Canis lupus familiaris: one gene and its partners. The protein of the gene in region 1 interacts with the protein of each later gene in a pairwise test. Links are inferred from orthologs where the notes say so. Each region holds a gene or a part of one and is shown on either strand. Other genes may lie near its edges.

Region 1 (6,780 bases):
TGAAAATGGGGCTCCACTGAAATTTTACACAGCATTCTTTCATAATTCTGAAGTATCTTCCAGGATTCATCCCAGTTATAATTTTGAAATGCAATGTGGCAATTAATTGGGGGGTACACATTACAGAAGCTGCACCGAACACTTCATTATGTGTGTATATGCACAAGCACATACATAAACAGCATTTCTCTCTGGGATTATAACGCATTAAGTAACATTTGGAGCACAATATATTGTTCTATACATTTACATCTGAAAAAAAAATAATTTCACTAAATAAAATAAACGATAAAGACGGAGTCACGAAGGACCCAGCAGGTTCTTGTTTTTATCTGGTGCTCGAGGTATAGGTTACATGCTCTTCCAGTCAGCAGGCTGGAGGCTGTGAGGACAGGAAGGAAGAGCTAAATTACATGGGATTCTAACTCAGGAAAGAGAAGTATACATTCCTAGGTTCTTGCCCATCGACTCAATAAAAATAAGGCGCTCTGACTAGCCGGAAGCTCCTCATTTAAATTCCCAGTTTATGCTTTGATTCAGAACAGTGTGTCTCCGCAAAGTTCCTGCGGGGCTGGGAGGGAAACGCGGGCACCAGTGTCTCCGAAGGAGCAGCCGCTGGGTGCAGGGGTTTGAGAAGACGGAGAGAAGGCGTGTCCTCCACCTGCCGCGCCCGGGACCTGCCGCCCTCCTGCGGGCAGCGAGCTCCCCACCAGCCGCGCACACCTGGCCTCGGCCCCCACCTCCTCCCCATTGCGCAGCGCCGGGGTTCTCTCGAGCCTCGGGACCTCCTCTCGGATTCCAAACGGAATGCGTCCCAGGAGGTGGCAGGGCAAGCTGGCTGTCCTCGATCATCGTGAACCAGCCGGCCTAATGCACACTTGAAGCTCCCCGGCCTGAACTCGCCCGGTCCTGGGGTGGATAGGAGGCCGCCCGGGCCCCGACCCCGCGCCGGGCGGGCGCCCCCTGGTGGCCGCACGGGCCGTAAACGCAGCGGCGCCCGCGTTCACCCCGAAGCTCAAAGGACCTGGGCGTCGGGCGAGCTGCCCGGGCCGGGGAGAGGCCGGGTAGTTAGTCCCTTGCCCTCAGCCCCAGGGACACGCCGGAGCGGGCCGACCTAGCCTCGTGCACCCTCACCGAGGGGTGGGGGGTGGGGGGCGGGGGGCGTAGGCCAACACCCGGAAATCACGCATGCCACTTCCCCTGCCATCTCTTGTTCCAAACCCAGGGCGAGTGGGGAGAGCCCTAGAGAAACATGGAGAAGGCAGGGCGAGAGCGCAGCGCGGCGGGGAGCGCGCCCGGGGCGGTCTAGACACGGCAGCGAGTGCCGGAGTAGCTGCAAACGGGTGTGAGCTGGAGCTGCCCCCGGTTCTGCAGAAGAAGGCAGCGCGCCTTCCCCGCGCTATTGCAAGAACCCTCACCCCGCACGAGGGCAGGTGCTGTTCGGGAGGCTTGGCCGTACTTCCCTGCAAAGTGGAAACAGTCCGTAAATTATTAGAATCCAGGAGCATCAGGAGTGTGTGTGTGTGTGTGTGTGTGTTGGGGGGGGGGTCATTTCCCACCGGTGCGCCCACGTGCAAGCACGTTTCTTAAGTAAATGAACGGCAGTTAGAGCCCTGCGTACCTACGCGTTTTCTATCTTATTTCTCCTTTTTTTTTTTTTTTTTTAAAGTGGGAGCATACAGACCACCTTCGAAACGTACAAAAACAGGAGCTTCTTGGGAAATGCTCTAGGTGACAAGGGCGAGTCAGAAATGACGGCGGCCTTTTGGCTAAGCGGAGGGACTCTGCCGGGAACAGCGAGCCCCGGACCGTTTCAGGAGCCCGGCGTGTCGACCTTGAGTCCCCGTGTAGGTGATTAACGAATTTTTAAAAAGGCTCCGACCGCAGAGTTCCCTTCAGCTAGTGCGTCCAACAGCAGATCTTCCATCGCTTAGCTAAGTCTCCGTGGAATAAATACATACATACATACATACATGAATAATAAATAAATAAATAAATAAATAAATAAATAAATAAATAAATAAATAAATAAAATCCGACACTAAACTGAAAACTACAGAGTGAGTCCATCAATGGCCAGTCTCGGTCGGGGCACAAAGTGCTGGAGCCCCGAAGCTGCATTCCGCGCCTCCGGTCCGCGGCTGCGAGGCGGGGGAGGCGGCTTGCGCTGGTGCCTGGTGTATAATCGGGTTAATCCAGGAGACAAAGAATAAACCAACAGCCCTCCCACCTCACTTCCCGCTCCCCTTCCCCTCCCCCCGCTCCTCTCCGCGTCGCCCCCTCGAGGGGGAACCGAAAAGGGGAGAGAGGTGGGCCGGAGAGCGGATCCCGAGGAAACTCTCAGAACCTGCACCTCGTTGTTTTCGTGCCAGCACAGCACTGCGTGGCCCGGGTCGGGCTTGGCCGTTCCCTTCCCCTCCCCCTTTCCCAGGGGCGAGGAGAAAGTGCCCCAGGTCGGGTCCGAGCCCGCGGCTCGTCCTCGCGGCCTCCGGGGAAACCTTCGGGTCGGGGTTTCCGTGCAACTAGGCAGAGTGAGCCGCCGTGCCCGGCGCGGCCCCGCGGGCGCCCCGCGCGCCGGCGCCCGGGCGGCAGGACCGGCCTGGGGACGCGCGGGGCGGCGCGGTTGCCCTTTTGAATGCCTCCTGCGGCTCGGAGCGCTGGCGGGCGCTGAAGTGTGAGTGAATGTAGCCCCGCGGAGCCAATGAGCTGGGACCGGATGCGATATATCCTCTGGGACAACAACTGCTCTGTTCCGCCTCGGATCCACATGACGCCATTTACTGCTGCCGCGGCCGCCGCAGAGCTCGCTGCCTCCGGAAAGACGAGGGCGCAGGCCAACGGCGAGCCCCCCCGGCCGGGCCCCAGACCCGCCCCCCCCGCCCCCCCGCCCCCCCGCCCCCCGCGCCCCCGCCGCCCCCGCCTCGGCCTCGCCGCCGCGCCTCCACAACGCCCAGTCTGCAGCGCTGAGAGCCGCGCGGCGCAGCGCGAGCCGAGCAGAGGGGCCGGCGGAGCGCGCAGCGCCCAGGCCCCCGCGCCCGCGCCCGCGCCCGCCCGGCCCGGCCCGCGCCCCCGCGCCGCCTCCGCCTCCGCCTCCGCCTCCGCCTCCGCCTCCGCCCGGCCGCCGCCGCACCGCTTGGCCATCTGGCTTTAGACTCTCTCCGAGGCGGCTTTCTTTTTCCCCTTCGCTCGTCCGCCGGGAAAGGAGACTAGCCGTTGGCGCTTCGGCCTCCAGTTCATTGAGAAAAAGGAAATACTCCGCGTGCGTTTCTAGAAGGGGGGTCGCCCCCAGCCGCGAGCCCCGGAGTGAGTGCTTGCTGCTCATCGGCTGGGGACTTGGCTCCGGATTTTCCTCTCCTTTTTTTTCCTCCCGCCGATTGCTCGGAACTTGGAGCGAAGCAGAGTTTGGAAAGAAGGCGGGGGGGAGGGGGGGGAGTTTGCATCGGGGCTGGATTTTATTTGCACATCGCAGGAGGCAGCGAATCCAACGGAGAGGGGTTGGTGCAAAGCCGCGATCACGGTGAGGCACGTTTGGCTCTTCCCCTCCTGGCGCCTTGGCCGGCGCGTTGTGGGCAACATGGAGTAGGTGCAGCCGGACCCGGAGAGGGGTCCGTCTCCACTCAGGCCTCCGTTTCTCCAGCCCCGCAGGTTCCCGGCGGGGACCCCGGGGAGCTGCCCGGCCCCGGGCCCGGCCTGGCTCGGCGGGGGCTGCAGCGCGCGGGGTCGGGCGTCCGCAGCCCCAGGACCCCAGGCGCCCGCGCTCTGGGGGGTTGGGGCGGCCGCGGAGTCGGCGCGGAGAGCGGGAGACGGAGGCGGAACACTTTGTGTGTTCCAGGTCCCCGCCGTAGGCGCCCGCATTTCTAACCTGTTCTTGGGGGGGGGGGGCAAGCCCTGGGCGACAGGGTCCCGGGGCAGGGGCGCCAGCGGGACGGAGGGCGCGCGAGTCGCTCGCCTCCGGGGGCAGCGGGAGCCGCCGGTGAAGCCTGGGCAGGGGCCGGGGCCGGGGCCGGGGCCGGGGAGGGGGGCCGGGCCGGGCCGGGTGCGAGCGTCCCCCTGCCGGGCGCCGGGGCTGCGGTTCGGAAGTGCAGCTTTCTCCTTTTTCCGTTCTCCGCGGTCGGCCTGGGTCACACTTGTTTTATTTTTGGAAGATTGGGCGGACCTAGCACAGGAAGAAAGTCCTCGAGCGGTCGCTATCGTTTTCCATTACCTGAAAATAGGTGGCAAAAGAGGTTAGGGTTTTTGGTTTTTTGGTTTTTTGTTTTTTTTAATTTACTTTGATGGGCTGATCTACTTTTTTGTTGCTGTTGCTGCTGCTGCTGCTGCTGCTGCCTTGAATTCGGAATCTTGTGCGTTTTTACCAAGCGGTTTCTGGGTCTGCCCCACCCTCGTGCTGAAGTCCTTGCCCCTTAGTCCTTAAGTCCGATCACACACTTCTTCATGGGGGTTTCTGAGCACTTTCGGGGTGGGGGGTAGGGGAGCGAGGGGGGTGGGCGGCGGGTGCTCTGGGTGCGAAGGAGGCTAGGAATGGGCAGTGATCATTTTCGATTAAACACACACACACACACACACACGCACACACACACCACCACCCCTTTCAAAGATGCTGCTCTGCACTGCGAGCAAATCTTGGCGGAAAGTTTCCAGCCTAGGGATCTGCGTCCTGCACGCCCTGTGCAGTGGGGCCCTGGGACTTGACCTTTCTTTAAAAAGCAACTTTCCTTTCACTTTTTTCTCTCCGCCGGAAAGGAGATGGGGTGTGCAGACTGCAGCCGGTGCCCCCTGGGTCAGTGCCTGGTAGAGTCGCCCAGGGTGCGTGGCTTGTGTGCTCGGTCCCGGCAGCGTGTCTAAGGCATGGCTTTCGGCGCCAGGGCTTGAACCCTGTGCCGGACGTTCGCTGGCCTTTGCCAGGTGGACCTGCAAGTGGGCTGCGGGACCTCTGGGTGCCTGGGGCCGGGGTGGCTCCCTCCTGGAGCTGGAAGGCAGTTCTCTGGAGTGGGGGGTATGTTAGCCTGGAGGTGGGGGGGGGAGTGTGCCCCGGCGTTTGCAGGCACGTCCCCTTCGGAGGCGCCCGCACACCCCACCCCCGCCCCCGCCCCCGCCTTCTAGTGCGTCTTGAGGTTGTGTGCTGGGGGGAGGGCAGCTTGGCCTCTGGGCTGTGTCAGTCTCCCCGGGGAAACGTCCCCCGGGGCTCCGACTGTGTCCCACCTGCTGGGGACGGTGTTGGGACGCAGATAGAGCCGATACACGGAGTGAAAGCAAAGATCGACGTTGTCTTGTCTGCCTTTCTGTTGGGAGATCCGGTTTCCAGCTCTACCTTCTTCCGAGTTGGGAGGCGTGTGTCACCTGCCTGTGTCTCTTAACAAAAATCGGAGACTGGATAAAGGTCCACTTTTGCCCGTTTTTGTTCATTGTAGACTTGGCAAAGGGGTGTGTGTGTGTGTGTGTGTGTGTGTGTATGATAGTTGTGAAATTTACAGAGGGATTGCAATTTAAGTGATTACACGTCAGAATGATAGATTTGAGACGTGACAAGAATTTTTGAAACCCTTCCTGTTATCCCCAGTCAGTTCAGGTTCTGAACTATTAGGATTTTTGACATAATTTATTTCTAAAACCGGGAGAACAGTCTTTTACAGTCTTTTAGCTGCAGAATTAAAGATACTCTCTCAGGCTATCAAACTGTAAAGTATTTGATCCTCAGGTTGTTGAGCATTTGAAAATAAGTTTCTGTCTTGTTGCTGGTTGGTTTGTGTTCCTGGCACACCTAACAGGATTTGAATGGATTTGTGTTTCATTTAAAACTTTTGCTACTATATAGTTAATAATGTTTGACTGTTGTAAAATTTGTAACTTCCTTGGAGGGGCGAAGTATTTGCTTTTTTGCAAGTCGCATTCATTCTACGGTATTCTAAAAAGCTGCAGAATACTGGATGAATTATAGTTAAAGGTATTTGATGTAAAAGCAGACAAGAAAGACTTTCTATTTCTAGGCTGCATTTATTGCTGTTTAAGGCAAAAATGCCCACGACAAAGTTAAACCTATCTCAGATTTTGAAAAAGTTTTCAACTTTCGCATATGTTGGCAGCAGTGTTCTGTTCTAACGTTATATTCCTGCAGCCTTCACATTGAACATGAACCTTGCAATTTTATGTTTATTTGAATAAGGAATCGTTACCTATGTGATTGAACCAAGATCAGCTTTGTGTCTCTACACATCGCAAGATTAAAGAATCGTCAGTACCCGGCTTTAATTTTTTTACTTTTTGGTGTGGCGTTGATCCTATGGCTCTTCCACCACCCTCCGTGAGCAACTCCCATTTCAAATCCTGTCTCTCTGGGGGAATGGAAAGGAAAGAGTTAATTCAGGTGGGCGGAGAGTGGGAAGTATCCTGGAGTGTAAACCAGCTCTTTCCTCTTGGTTTCTGCAGGAATTCAGATGTGTTCTAAGCCCGCTGGAGTGACCACACTTCCAAGACCTGATGGAGGCCAGAGCTCAGAGCGGCAGCGGGTCGCAGTCCTTGCTGCAGGCACCCCGTGACGTTGGCAGGCAGCGTGGGGAGCCTGACCCCAGGGATGCCCTCACCCAGCAGGTACACGTGTTGTCTCTGGATCAGATCAGAGCCATCCGAAACACCAATGAGTACACGGAGGGGCCTACTGTGGTCCCGAGACCTGGGCTCAAGCCTGCTCCTCGCCCCTCCACTCAGCACAAACACGAGAGGCTCCACGGTCTGCCCGAGCACCGCCAGCCTCCCAGGTTCCAGCACCCACAGGCCCATTCT
Region 2 (6,780 bases), on another chromosome or scaffold:
AAATGTTTTAGTTATGTGTACATATGTCTATCTCTATGTAATAGGTCAAAAAATACCAATGGAAAAAGGCAAAATCATTTTCACTAAAGAAAAACTTCAAAAAAGAAATTTTAGAAAATCGGAAGGCAAGAGATATGTAGTAATACTTTGGCTTAACATTTTAAACAAAGGGAAAAATGAGATACATATTAATTTTTTTAAAAGATTTTATTCATTTATTCATGAGAGACACTGAGAGAGGCAGGGACATAAGCAGGCTCCATTCAGGAGCCCGAGGCGGGACTCGATCCCGGAACTCTAGGAACACGTCCTGAGCCAAAGGCAGATGCTCAACCACTGAGCCACCCAGGCATCCCAGATAGATATTAATTTGAAGCAAAAAAAAATGTTGTCATTTAAAAAAAAAAAAAAAAAAAAAAAACAGAGAAACTAAAGAAAAGGAGTAACAGAAGTTTTGAAATTGAGAAAAAAAGGAAGCAAACAAGAGATGAAAGCCCTAGATAATCTAGGCAATCCAGTTCAAAGCTGAGTCAGATCTTGCTGAAACACAGAGCCCCTATAATAATACTCTGGCAAAAGGAGGTATTGTGGCCTCATTCTATGAAAGAGCTAGGACGGCTTACTGAGGATACACCAGCGGATGAAACATAAGAGCGGTGATACCAAGTCCACGGGATTGTAGACCAACATATGGTCTCTCTCTCTGTTGAAGTCATTCTTCTAACCATTCTAGGTGACAGAAATCTGACACTGCTTATAGGCTAATCAATTCAGCATTTATTTGGTTTCTGTTAAGTGTTTCACATGTGTATACATTCCAAATTAGATCATTAACTTCTGGAAAGCAGAAGATATCTTACTTATTTTATTTTCATCCATATAACTTAGGACAGTGCTATGCATGTAGAAGATAGATGCTCAAACCTACTGATTCTGAAAAATCACAACATACAATTACAACAGTAGAGTTTAAAAAAATCTTAAAAGATCTAGTCTAGCCTCTTTATGTTCTGTTTTTGTTGTTGTTGTTGTTGTTGTTTTAAGTAGGCTCCACACCCAGTACAGAGCCCAACGCAGGGCTCAAACTCACAACTCTGAGATCATGACCTGAGCTGAGATCAAGAGTCCGACGCTTAATGACCTCAGCCACTCAGGCGCCCCTAGCCTCTCTATCTTAAAAGCAAAGAAACTAAGAGTAGTTAAATGTCCAACAGCCTAAAGTCACAGAGCTAGGATTAGCACCCTAATCCCAGGATAATCAGTTCAACTTTTTCCAAATAGCTCTAATTTCTTCCATTATAATAAAATGAATAATCACCTATTTCATCAGAAAGCAAAGTAATAGCACCAGTATTCACTACATGCTAGGGCTTTCAGAAGGTCAGAGTTGTTGGCAGACCACCTGCTGTGGTCTGGGATGGCTACTCTATAAACATTGATAAACATTTATAAACATTATTTTTTTACTTAATATTCACAATAAGCACTATAAGGAGTAACAACCCAGTTTTACAAATGTAAATTTACCATAATAACAGCAAGTGCAGAACCCAGATTTTGTTACCAGTGGCTCTCAACCACATCCTATTCTGCTTCTCGTTGAATTAAACACGAAAATCCCAAAGTGCCAAGAGCCCAGCACAGTACCTGACCCAAACAAAATAAACAAATGTTTAAAAGACTCACTAAATTAATGGATCGTTTGATTAATTAAAAAGTAAGTTTTCTCACAGTAAATACCTCTAAAATAAAAAAAAAAAAATTAAAAAAAGGTTTCCCTGTTCAGCTAATTACATAATCCCGAGAAAGGTTTTAATAGTGAGCAGTATGCATACTAAGAGCAGATTTAAGGAATGGCTAATTTCTTTATCCTACAAATAATTCATCTGTTCAACAAATATTAAGTGAAAAACTATTTTTGTGACACAGTGTTAAATCTGAAGTAAAATAAAACTTGCTCCTACAATATTCTATTCCATAAATTAAAACCCACACAAGTCTCTAAACCATTTGCCAAAACCAAAACACACGTGTAACATCTCCCTCCTGGTAGAGGAAAAAGAAATAACACTAAGTGAACACCTACAATGTGCCAGTTCTTAATCCTCAACATACAGTCTCGCCTGATCCCTTATAACCAAGTGAACTAGGCCACATCTGCATTTCTGATTAACAAATTCAGGCTTTAAGAGATTAAGTACTGGACGCTTGGGGGGCTCAGTGATTGAGCATCTGCCTTGGGCCCAGGGTGTGACCGCAGGGTCCTGGGATGGAGTTTCTGGGATGAAGTCCCACACTGGGCTCCCTGCAGGTAGCCTGCTTCTCCCTCTGCCTGTGTCTCTCATGAACAAATAACAAATCTTTAAAAAAAAAAAAAAAGAGAGAGAGAGAGAGAGATTAAGTACTTGTCTCAAGTCCTTTGGCTAATTAATTACTACAAATAACAGAACTGGAACCCAAGTCTCCTACAGTTGTTAAAAGTCTTATTATTTTATTTGCCCACCAAGGCAGAGAACAGGTTTCTTTCTGAGACCAAAAGCTGCTTGTTTTAACAACAACAACAAAAGAATACATTATCACGATCCTCATAATAGCCTATTAGTTATTGTCACTTCATACCATAAATACAAATGATGAAGCTAGAACTCAGAGGAGTCTGCCCAAGAACATAGTGCAAGGAAGCAGAACTTTACCAGGTCTGCACCAGGTGTGCATGCAACACTGGAAACCACAGCGTTAAGACTCAAAACATCTAAAGTAGTTGGGCCTTGTGTTTGCCAGATGAAAAAGAATGGCAGATCTCATATCAACTTCTACTTGCAGTGTGCGGAAGGAGAAGCCGATGTTCTCATAACGTTCTTTTAAGTGGCAACCCGAAGACTGGGCTCTCCATTCCAAGCCTACAGGCCACTTCATTACTACCAGCAACAGCGCTAGGGATCTGTTATCAGTTACAATTACTCCTAAAGTGCCAAACAATGTACCACGCCACACACCAACGGTTCACTGAAAGAACACTATGTCAGAATACATAAAATCAACATCTCAGTATTTAAGACTTTCACTGAGAAGACATGAACAGACCTATTCCTTGGCAACATTTTCGAGTCATCATCTGAGAACTTTATGCCCTGGTGTATTTTTTAAGGCCTAAGTGTGAACTAAAAGAAAGGGCATGTCCTATGGCAGCTCCAAAGATGTTACTACTGGGGATCCCTGGGTGACGGCTCGGCGGTTTGGCGCCTGCCTTTGGCCCAGGGCGTGATCCTGGAGACCTGGGATTGAGTCCCATGTCGGGCTCCCTGCATGGAGCCTGCTTCTCCCTCTGCCTGTGTCTCTGCCTCTGTGTGTGTCTCTCATGAATAAATAAATAAAATCCTTAACAAAAAATAAATAAAAATGTCACTACCTTGGTCGCAAAGACTTACTGTACAGCTCTGTTTCTCAGAAATCCTGAGGAGCCCTTTCTGGTTGAGAGCAGCTCAAGCATCTTCCTAAAGAACTGTCCCATCTGCTTCTAGTAAATCAAAGTGATGAATAAGACGGTGGTTGGGTGTTAATACGCGGCACTCTGAGTGTGTGTGTGTGTGTGTCCACGTTTCACTGGGCGACGCAGGCTGGAAGCCCCAACCCCGAGGTCAGCAGAACCATCCCGCTCCGGGGGAGCCAGGCAGCCGTGCACGTCCGTCGCCGCCACCGCACCCTGGAGGCCGTGGTCCCGCCTTCATCCCGCAGAGACCGCGGGAGCCCGGAGCTCCCTCCGAGCTGCCCCGAGGGCCCCGAGCCCGCAGCGGGAGCAAGGCCAGGCCATGCACGGCCCCGACCCCGACCCCGACCCGGGCGGCCGAGCTGCACCGGAGGCCTCGAGCCTGCAGCGGCAGCCAGGCCAGAAGGCCCGGGGTCGTGCACCAACCCCCTCCAGCGCACAGACCCGCCCCGACCCGGGCGGCCGAGCAGCACCGGAGGCCCCAAGCCTGCAGCGAGAGCCACGCCGGCGGGCCGGGGACCGTGCACCCCCCGCCCCCAGACCCCGACCCGGGGACGAGCTGCCCCGGAGGTCCCGAGCCCGGGGCCGTGCACCCCCCCTCCCCCCCGTCCAGCGCACAGACCCGCCCCGCCGCCAGACCGCGACCGGAGGCCCAGAGCCTGCAGCCGGAGCCTGGCCAGCGGGCCCGGGGCCGTGCACCGCCCCCTGCCCCCGCCTCCAGACCGCGACCCGGCGGCCGAGCTGCCCGGAGGCCCCGAGCCCGCAGCTGCAGCCAGGCCGGCGGACCCCGAGCCGTGCCCCCCGCCCGCCGCCAGACCCCGGGGGCCGAGCCCGCAGCGGGAGCCCCCCCAGCCCCGCCCGCCGCGAGCGCCCGCCTTCCCCCCGAAAGTTGCGACCTGTGCCCGCGGCCGCGTCCAGCACGGACGCCCGCCCCGGAAGCGCCCCCGCGGCCCGCACGGCGCCGAGCAGCGCTGCCCCCCGCGCCCCGCGCCCCGGGCCGCCCAGCCGCCGCCGCCCCGTTATCCGCTCGCAGCCGCGGCCGCGCTCGGGCCTGCCCGCCTGTCCGCGCCCCGCAGCCCCCGCACGGCCCCGGGCCCCGCCGCAGCCCTCCGCGCGTCCCGGGGGGACCGGCGCCCGCGGCCCGGGGCTGGGGCGGCTCCGGGCGGCCCCTCACCTCCGGGTGCAGCAGGGGCACGCAGCCCGCCTCGGCGTCGTACTCGTCCGGGCCGTCCGCCATCTTGGTGTTAAATCCCTGCGCCCGCTGCATGCCGGGAGAAAGCGGTTCCCCCCGGCGGGGCTCGGGCGCGGCGAGGGCACGCGCGAGGGCGAGCCGCGGCCCCCGCGCACCCCCCTGCGCCCCCCCCGCCTCCCTCGGGGGCGGGGGTCCCTGTGCGCGTGCGCGCGGGGCGGGGCGGGGGGAGCGGGGGAGGAGGCTGTGCGCGTGCGCGGCGCGGCCCCGAGACCCCGCGGCTGCAGCAGCGCGGCTGGGGCCTGGGAGGCCTGCTGGTCGTTGCCCGTGCGGCCCTGCACCCCCGCCGGGACGGCCTCCCGCGATGCACCCTCGGGGGCGCCCGGAGCAACGGGTGAGGCCTGGGGCCCGGGAGACGGCCCGGCCGGACCTCGTTGGTCTTCAATTAGCAGTAATTACATCAAAAACGTACACCCTCGAGGCCCACGCCCCCCCCCCCCACCTGCTGCATGTTAATGTAACCCGGGGGCTGAGAACCCACGTCGTTAAAACGGAATTCGCTGAAATTCGAACCGGATAAAAGGACCTAGGGCGTCTTTAAGCGCATATTAGGGCTGTAGGAATCGGGGCGGGGGGGGGGGGGGGGAGTGGCTCCTACAAATGTGCTAAAACAACAGGCCTACAACACATGCCTCTTTGATTTTGCTATTATTAAAAATTGTATTTTTTTTGCTATTATTAAAAATTGTAGCCCTAAGCTGCTCAGAGGAGGATGCAGCAGAGATCGCCAAAAAAATTGTTTGTTTTTTTTTTTGCTATTATTAAAAATTGTAGCCCTAAGCTGCTCAGAGGAGGATGCAGCAGAGACCGCCAGGACGATGCGTTAGAGATCCCGACAGCAGCCTGCCTCCCGAGCAAGCGCATCAGCCAGGAGCAGCCGCCGGGTAAGGTCGGGAGGGAGGGCCCAGGGAGGCGAGGGTCAGGGGCCTGCCCTCAGGCTGAGGCTCCCGCCAAGGGGAGCTGCAGGGTCTGCAGACGGCGGGGCGCAGCGCTGCATCCGACGCTCCCTGGGAAGCCGGGCCCGGAAAAGCGGGGAGCGACCGGGCATTGGATGCTCTCAAGAGGAGTCTGCTGTTCCTTCACGGGGTGCTCCCAGAAATGCATGAAGATAGCTAAATAGCAGATATTAGCTCCTGGAAATGCTGCATAGCTAACGGTCGAGGCATCATTCATAAGAGGGAGAGGCGGGCACAGCTCTTCACAGCTGCTGCACGGCCGGTGGGAAGAGCAAGGTCCTCTGCTGACTTTGCAGCTGGCTTACCTGCCTCCGTCCTCCCGGCAGCGCTGCTCTCGGTCTCCTCTCAGTCTGAGCTCATTTGCATCATTTTGGTCCCACCCCAAACCAAGGATTTGGGTTTGACTCTTTCACCCAGCCTGCAGAACTACACAGAATTAGGGTTCTCTCCCTTTGGAGCTCCAAACTGCTTTTAGATGCATTTTAACATAGAATTTTCTTTAAAACAAACAAACAAAAAAAAAGGATTTTATTTATTTATCCATGAGAGACACAGAGAGAGAGAGGCAGAGGGAGAAGCAGGCTCCCTGCAGGGAGCCAGAGGCAGCACTCAATCCCAGGACCCCAGGGATCACGCCCTAGGCTGGAGGCCGTGTGAAACCGATGAGCCACACGGGCTGCCCTAAAGTAGAATTTTCACTTCAACAATTCAATTTTCATCTTGCTCCTCCTTACCCTTATGTCATACATTTACTGGAAAGAGACAATGGGAGTAAAGAAAAGCAACAGTTGGGAGATGGGGTAAAGAAGATACTGAATTGTTGGGGGGTGACGGAGACACAAGGCATAGATAGCAGGCAAGAATGTTTTGCAGGTGCCCATGTGTTAGGAACATTGGGGTGTATGAGCTTACAAAAAATGAGGATGTTTAGCCTTCCCAGGACGCCTAGGCTCACAGGGGTCCCTAAATGGAAGGCTCAGTGGTCAAATTCAGCCACCAAAATGTTTCATTTGGCCTACATGGTAGTTTTCCAAATATTTTTGAAGTAGATACCAAAATTCAATAAATCAGGAGATTTCACTTTAAAA
Region 3 (6,780 bases), on another chromosome or scaffold:
CTGTGTTGTTGAGCTGGGGCCAGTGATAAGGGGAGGGAAGCCATGGCCAAGTGCCCAGCAGTGACAGGCTTTGCAGTCAGTAGGCTCCCTCTGGCTGCAGTGTGAAGGGACAGCCAGAGGCGGGGACAAGTGGGGGTGCGGTCACAGAGATCCCAGCAGAGGCCCAGGGGACCCAGACTAGGCAGTGGCAGCCAAGGTAACAGGAGTCTGTGGGTCCAAGGCAGCTGGCAGCACTGAGCAGCAAGTTGGCTCTAGAGAGTAGGGGAGGGAAAGAGGGGAGGCCATTTCTTGGGCTGCTGGTGAGGGGGGTGAGGAGGAGAAGCAGCTGTGTGGTGGAGAGGAGTTCCAGTCAGGGCCTGTAAAGCTGCAGGGCCCCAGGGACATCTAGAAATTGACGCCTAGCAGCTCCATTGAGGTGGATTTTGGCTGGAGATGGAAGTTTGGGAGGAGGCCCCACCACTTATCTGGCAGTTGAAGCCCTGGAAGAGAATGAGATCACCCCAAGGAGAGAGCACAGAGGGTTTATCATGCCATGTTCTGGGAAATAGGAATCACTCCTCCTCACACAAGAATGTGGACCTTGAGGGCATCAAGTGGCAGCCTGGGGGTGCCTGTCTTGGACAGAGGGTCCTGGGAGAAGAGACGAATAGGGTTCGGGCCCCAAAATGACCATGTCACATCAGGAACCAGCATGGCTTCACAGGAGGCTGGGGGCTCCACCATGGGCCAGGCAGAGGCTCCAGGAGGAGCCAGTGGCTGCTGCTCAAGCCCACTGAGCCCGGCACATTTTCCTGAGATCCCCTTTGGGAGACTTAAAGTGGCAGCCAAAGGTGTCGGTGTGGGGGGAACCTTGAGGAGGGGGCCCTTGGAAGCAGGTGGTTGACTCCTTGGGTGGGTGGGAGCCAGAGGAGGAGCTGCTCACCAAGACAGGTCAATGTGCCACCCACCCCAGGGTGGTAGCTGGAAGGCCAAGCGGGTCCCCTTCACTGGGGCTGGTGGGGTCAGGCCCAGTCTGGCAGGAAGCTGACTGGGACGGCACCCCGTCCTACCAGATGGTGGCTGACATGCGGGAGAAGCGCTACGTGCAGGAGGGTATTGGCAGCAGCTACCTGTTCCGGGTAGACCATGACACCATCATCGACGCTACCAAGTGCGGCAACCTGGCGCGGTTCATCAACCACTGCTGCACGGTGCGCAGGGGGGTGGGGGAACGGGGTGGGAGGTGCTCAGGGTGGGGCGGAGACTCCAGGACCAAGGGCGTAAGCTCACATGGCCCTCCCCTCCTACAGCCCAACTGCTATGCCAAGGTGATCACCATCGAGTCCCAGAAGAAGATCGTGATTTACTCCAAGCAGCCGATTGGTGTGGACGAGGAGATCACGTACGACTACAAGTTCCCTCTGGAGGACAACAAGATCCCGTGTCTGTGCGGCACCGAGAGCTGCCGGGGCTCCCTCAACTGAGGTGGGGCGGGACCGGCGCCCGCGCCTCTATTTATTTCCCTGGGGTCTGGGGAGCCCTAAGCCCAGTGAGGGAGCCTCAGTCCCCGGAGGTAACTCCTGCCTCCCCTGTCGCCCCTGCCCACCCACCTCCTAACTTTTTTTTCTTTGCGGAGAAGAAGCTGTAAATGTTTTGTAGCTGCCAGCAGCTGTTTCCTGTGGAAACCTGGGGTGCCGGCCTGTACAGATCCTGTTCTTGGGGGGCTGCATAGCCCCCTTGCTTTGTGTTAATGGGGACTTCCCCTTTGTGCCCTGCGTGCACCCCTCCCCAGTTCAGGGGTCTCTAGGGGCAGCGGCCATGTTCTCCCCCTGGGGGGGGTGCCCTGTGCCCCCAGTCCTAGGGACTCCGTGCCTGGAACCCTGCCTCATCTTCTGTTCCTGCCAGACCCTGTGGGTCACCCTCCCACCCTGGTTCCTGGAAGCTTCTGCTCTGCCAGACCAGGATGATGGGGGGTGGGCCCTTCCTATTGGGCTGGATTGTACATATGTTAATAGCGCAAACCCAACGCCACATTTTTATAATTGTGATTAAACTTTATTGTACAAAAGTGCTTGGTCAGTATCTTTGGGGAAGAGTAGGTGGGTGGCGGGGGGTTGGGGGTTCAGGACAGAGGATTGGTTGCAAGTGAAGAGAAGGGGAAATGGGTGGCCTGCAGGTTGGGTGGGTAGACCTGCAGACTCAACCACCATTGCTCTGGGTCACCTATTAGTCTGGAATAGTCATCCAGAAATCCCCCACCAAGGTCAGCCAGAGCTGGGCCAAGGTCAGCCTCCCTTCCCTTCCCAGAACCACAGCCGCTGCTGGGCTTCTGGTATCTTGGGAAATCCAGCAAAGGGGAAGGATTGACGTCATGAGGTGGGAGTGAGGTCATCCCACCTGTCCCATCCTCTGCCCACCCAGCGTGTTCTGGCTTCCCCGGGCCGTATTCCCCAAGTTCTTTGCCGGAAGCAGACGCCCGCGGAGCGCAGAGTGGCCGCCAGGGGGCGCCCTATGGCAAGAGCTCAGGGGACGGAGGGGTGGAGGCTGGGCTGGTGTCTGTTCCTGGAATGGGCCAGGAGGGAGGAGGAGCAAGCGGAAGGGGACGGTGTGTTGGCCGACCGCTGGGGCTCCGAAAGAAGACGGCCCCTCCGGTGGGCAGTTTGAGTATCTCGGGACCGTGGCTGCAGGTAGGCAGAGGTGATGCCAGGGCTCCCAGGTCCCCTTCCCTAGTCACAGCCCTTCCCATCTCCCTCTCCCTTCCTCTTCAACCCTTCACCTCCTACCCTCCATTTTTGTCTTGGAACCTTCCCCTCCAGCTCAACCCCTGAGCCCTTCCTAAAACGCCAATCCCTCACCCTTTCAGTCGCAGTAGCTGCAGCTGGCAGGGTCAGAAGACAGGTGGTAGCCTAGCTGCTGTGCCACAGCCCCAGCTTTTGGGAGCCACTCTGGCCCCTGTGTCTCGGCTCCCGTCCCCTAGGCCAGAGGCCCCATCTCAGGGTCGCAGGTGTGCTGCTGGCGCTGGGTGGGTGGTGGCAGGTAACTCAGGTTCTCTTCCCGAGCCAGGCATGGCAGACTCCACAGAGGTCCGGGAGCTGGTGTACCTGGTCACAGGTGGCTGCGGCTTCCTGGGGGAGCATGTGGTGCGGATGCTTCTGCAGCGGGAACCCCGGCTCTTAGAGCTGCGGGTCTTTGACCTGCACCTGGGTGCCTGGCTGGAGGAGCTGAAGACAGGTAAATCACAGTGGGGAGGGAAGGAGTGGGGTGGGCGGACTCCCTTTGCCGTGGTGGAAAAGATGATGCCTGTTTATAACTTCCGCGCCCATGGATGGGATGAATGAGTCACTTTGGGAATATGTGGCTCCTAAGGGTGTAGGCTGAACCCAGCAGCTGGCCAGCGGCCCCAGCTCAAGACATTGCTTCTGGCTGCCTCTCCTATCCTTCCCAGGGCCTGTGCAGGTGACTGCCATCCAGGGGGATGTGACCCAAGCCCACGAGGTGGCAGCGGCTGTGGCTGGAGCCCACGTAGTCATCCACACAGCCGGGCTGGTGGATGTGTTTGGGAGGGCCAGCCCTGAGACCATCTATGAGGTCAACGTGCAGGGTGAGGTGGCTATTTGTTCCCTACCCCCTCTTTGACCTTGACTTCTGGGATTCTCTTGTGAAAACCTGTCCTCTGGACACTCCTGCCCCTGTAATGGCAATTTGGCTACCCTCACTGACCTGCTGTAGTTTTCCTTGGACCTGGGGAAGGAAGCCACGGGCCCTCATCCAGAGTGGAGATGGGGGGTGGGAAAGATGCTGCGAGGGAGGAAGTTTTAGCTTCAGTCTTTCCCTCACTGCACATCACTCTTTCCCTCCCTGCCACCTCTCCCAGGCACAAAGAACGTGATTGAGGCTTGTGTGCAGACTGGAACACGGTTCTTAGTCTACACGAGCAGCATGGAAGTTGTGGGGCCCAACATTAAAGGCCACCACTTCTACAGGTAAGCTTAGTTTCCCCCCAGTACTTGAGAGCCCCATCTCCCCTCAGCATTAAGAATTTTCCTTCTTGGGCAGCCTGGGTGGTTTAGTGGTTTAGCGCTGCCTTTAGCCCGGGGCCTGATCCTGGAGCCCCGGGATCGAGTCCCACGTCGGGCTCCCTGCATGGAGCCTGCTTATCCCTCTACCTGTCTCTCTGCCTCTGTCTCTCTCTCTGTGTGTGTCTCTCATGAATTAATAAATAAAATCTTAAAAAAAAAAAAAAAGAATTTTCCTCTTCCTCAACTAGGGGCAATGAGGACACCCCATATGAAGCAGTACACAGGCACCCCTATCCTTGCAGCAAGGCCCAAGCTGAGCGGCTGGTCCTGGAAGCCAATGGAAGGAAGGTGAGACAGGAGGCGAAGAGACAAAGACGTGGTGGGCAGGGCTGCTAGTCAGAGGCAGAGCCGAGGCCAGAGGGACTACTTTACATCCTGCCCCAATCATCGATTTCGGGAGGCCAGGGCAGAGGGCAGGCCGCTGGGTCCTAGGTCTTAGCTATGCCTACCTCTTGCCCCCAGGTCCATGGGGGGCTGCCCCTGGTGACATGCGCCCTGCGTCCCACTGGCATCTACGGTGAAGGCCACCAGATCATGAGGGACTTCTACCACCAGGGCCTTCGTCTGGGGGGTCGACTCTTCCGGACCATCCCTGCCTCTGTGGAGCATGGCCGGGTCTATGTGGGTAAGGCCCGGGCTACACTGTGGAGGGGGGGTGGGGTGGCGGGGAAGGCTGAGAACGGGGCAGGACCCACGTAGTCCTGGGTGGGCAGTGTGTGCCCCGGCTAGCAAAGGGAGAGCCACACATGGGCCAGAGTAGCCGGATACTCGGGTATTATCTGCATGGCCACGGAGGACACACCAGCTGTGTGAGTTGGGAAGGCTAACATAAAAAACACATCACAGGCCAACTGGTTATGAGAACAGCATCTCTCCAGGAGAGGTGAGGGGCAGCATCTACACAGGACCAACAGAAGTAGCAGCATCCACACAGGCTGGCCCAGGAGAGCAAGTGGCCACAGGGCCTGGGGAGGAAGCAGCCTTCACCAGGGCCCTGGTTCACAGGCACACCTACGTGAGCCCCAAGAAGGGGCAGCTTGGACACGGGCTGGCTCAGGAGAGCACAGGGTCTCCACAGCCTCCAGGGCACTCAGGGCCACATCTGCCCCCCTTCCCCCGCTGACAGGCAACGTGGCCTGGATGCACGTGTTGGTGGCTCGAGAGCTGCAGCAGCGAGCTGCCCTGATGGGCGGCCAGGTGTACTTCTGCTATGACCAGTCGCCCTATAAGAGCTATGAGGACTTCAACATGGAGTTCCTGGGCCCCTGCGGACTGCGGCTGGTGGAGACCCGCCCGCTGGTGCCCTACTGGCTGTTGATGCTTCTGGCTGCTCTCAACGCCCTGCTGCAGTGGCTGCTGCGGCCGCTGCTTCTCTATGCACCCCTGCTCAACCCCTACACGCTGGCTGTGGCCAACACCGCCTTCACTGTGAACACCGACAAGGCTCGGCGCCACTTCGGCTATGAGCCCCTGTTCTCGTGGGAGGACAGCCGGACCCGCACCATCCGCTGGGTGCAGGCCATGGAGGGCTCGGCCCGGTGACGGTGGAGCAGGGAGAGGGAGGCCCCCCGAGCCCTCAAACCCTGGGCAAGGAGGGAGGCCTGCCTCCTAGCGCTGGAGGGGCGTCTGGCACCACACTGACGCGCCCACAGCCCTCCACATCTTTAATCCACGGGAGCGAGCTGTGGGTTTGGTCCCGGTACCTCTGAGTTCTAGGGCAGGGTTTGGCAAATGTCTGATTCCCCTAATGTTCCCACCTGCCCCGTCCCTTTCTGGCTTTTCAAGCAGGAAGTGAAGAGTTCCACGGGCTTCATGCTGGCCTTCTGACGTCCAGGCAGGACCCTTGGGCCTGCATTTGGACTGAAGTTGCTTTGTGGCTCCTCCCACCACCTTTGGCCCTCCTTGGCGGTCAGCATCCCATTATTTTAAAATTTTTATTACCTTCGGACAGCTCTCTTTCCTGTGAAGCCTAAGCAAATCCGTGTACTTTCCCTTCTTCCCACCCGTCCACCCAAATTTGTTCCTATAATATTGTCAGAGCTCTGCCTGAGGGATCTGCCCCAGGAATGCTATACCTGGCCGAGCCCTGGATTAAAGCTCCTCACCCAGCTTGGGTCTATCCACCTGTCCGGCTTTGTCTCCCACCACGTCTCCCCCTCCCCACGGCGCCTGTCCCACACGGCGACAGAAGGAAGTGACCACACAGCACGCCCGCTGTTGGATTGGTTGCTATTTCTCCCGTCCCACGGGGCCCGACCCGGCCCGGGGTGGGGGTGGGGGGCTCTGGGGACAGGACATGCAGGGTGGGGTGGGGGGGGGGCAGAATTTTCCTGTGTTTTATCCATTTGCAACTTGGTCACCAATAGAGAGAAATGGGACTCTGAGGGCTAACAGGAGAGGGAGGCCTGGCTCTGGGCCCCCAGCCAGGCCCCAGGAGTCCTGTCCCCTCGGGGAGGAAAAGGAAAGAGCTCTAGAAACCAACGGAGAAACAGAAGGGGCAAGGGCTCATGTCAGCAAACACGGCTACATCACGTGACACGCCAGCGACACGGAAACACACGCCAACGCACACGGCTGCACAGCGGGCAGGGGCAGGGGGAGAAGGGAGCCGGGGGCCACCCATCTTGTCCTCTGCGGGGCGGGCTGGGGGGACAGGGTGAATGCATAGAACACATCATGTACACACGCTCAAGGCGTGGCAAGAGCGTGCATCGACCCACAG

Evidence for each region.
Region 2: the proteins of SPRY2 (region 1) and ZDHHC17 interact in binary tests that used the Homo sapiens proteins (3 or more experiments, as listed by UniProt). The link is inferred for Canis lupus familiaris from reciprocal best matches to the Homo sapiens genes SPRY2 and ZDHHC17.
Region 3: the proteins of SPRY2 (region 1) and HSD3B7 interact in binary tests that used the Homo sapiens proteins (3 or more experiments, as listed by UniProt). The two-hybrid records come from large-scale screens. The link is inferred for Canis lupus familiaris from reciprocal best matches to the Homo sapiens genes SPRY2 and HSD3B7.

The regions. Positions count from the first base shown.
Region 1 is NC_049243.1:33,465,527-33,472,306, reverse strand, and holds the start of SPRY2 (protein sprouty homolog 2), read left to right. Parts: upstream 1-3,090; 5' UTR 3,091-3,517; intron 3,518-6,426; 5' UTR 6,427-6,477; coding exon 6,478-6,780.
Region 2 is NC_049236.1:19,761,767-19,768,546, reverse strand, and holds the start of ZDHHC17 (palmitoyltransferase ZDHHC17), read right to left. Parts: upstream 4,815-6,780; 5' UTR 4,755-4,814; coding exon 4,662-4,754; intron 1-4,661. UniProt on the Homo sapiens protein: Palmitoyltransferase that catalyzes the addition of palmitate onto various protein substrates and is involved in a variety of cellular processes.
Region 3 is NC_049227.1:17,382,003-17,388,782, reverse strand, and holds HSD3B7 (3 beta-hydroxysteroid dehydrogenase type 7), read left to right. Parts: upstream 1-2,512; 5' UTR 2,513-2,666; intron 2,667-3,042; 5' UTR 3,043-3,044; coding exon 3,045-3,210; intron 3,211-3,424; coding exon 3,425-3,580; intron 3,581-3,853; coding exon 3,854-3,962; intron 3,963-4,246; coding exon 4,247-4,346; intron 4,347-4,520; coding exon 4,521-4,683; intron 4,684-5,184; coding exon 5,185-5,600; 3' UTR 5,601-6,181; downstream 6,182-6,780. Other genes in the region: histone-lysine N-methyltransferase SETD1A, read left to right, coding at 1,053-1,190, 1,290-1,463. UniProt on the Homo sapiens protein: The 3-beta-HSD enzymatic system plays a crucial role in the biosynthesis of all classes of hormonal steroids. HSD VII is active against four 7-alpha-hydroxylated sterols. Does not metabolize several different C(19/21) steroids as substrates.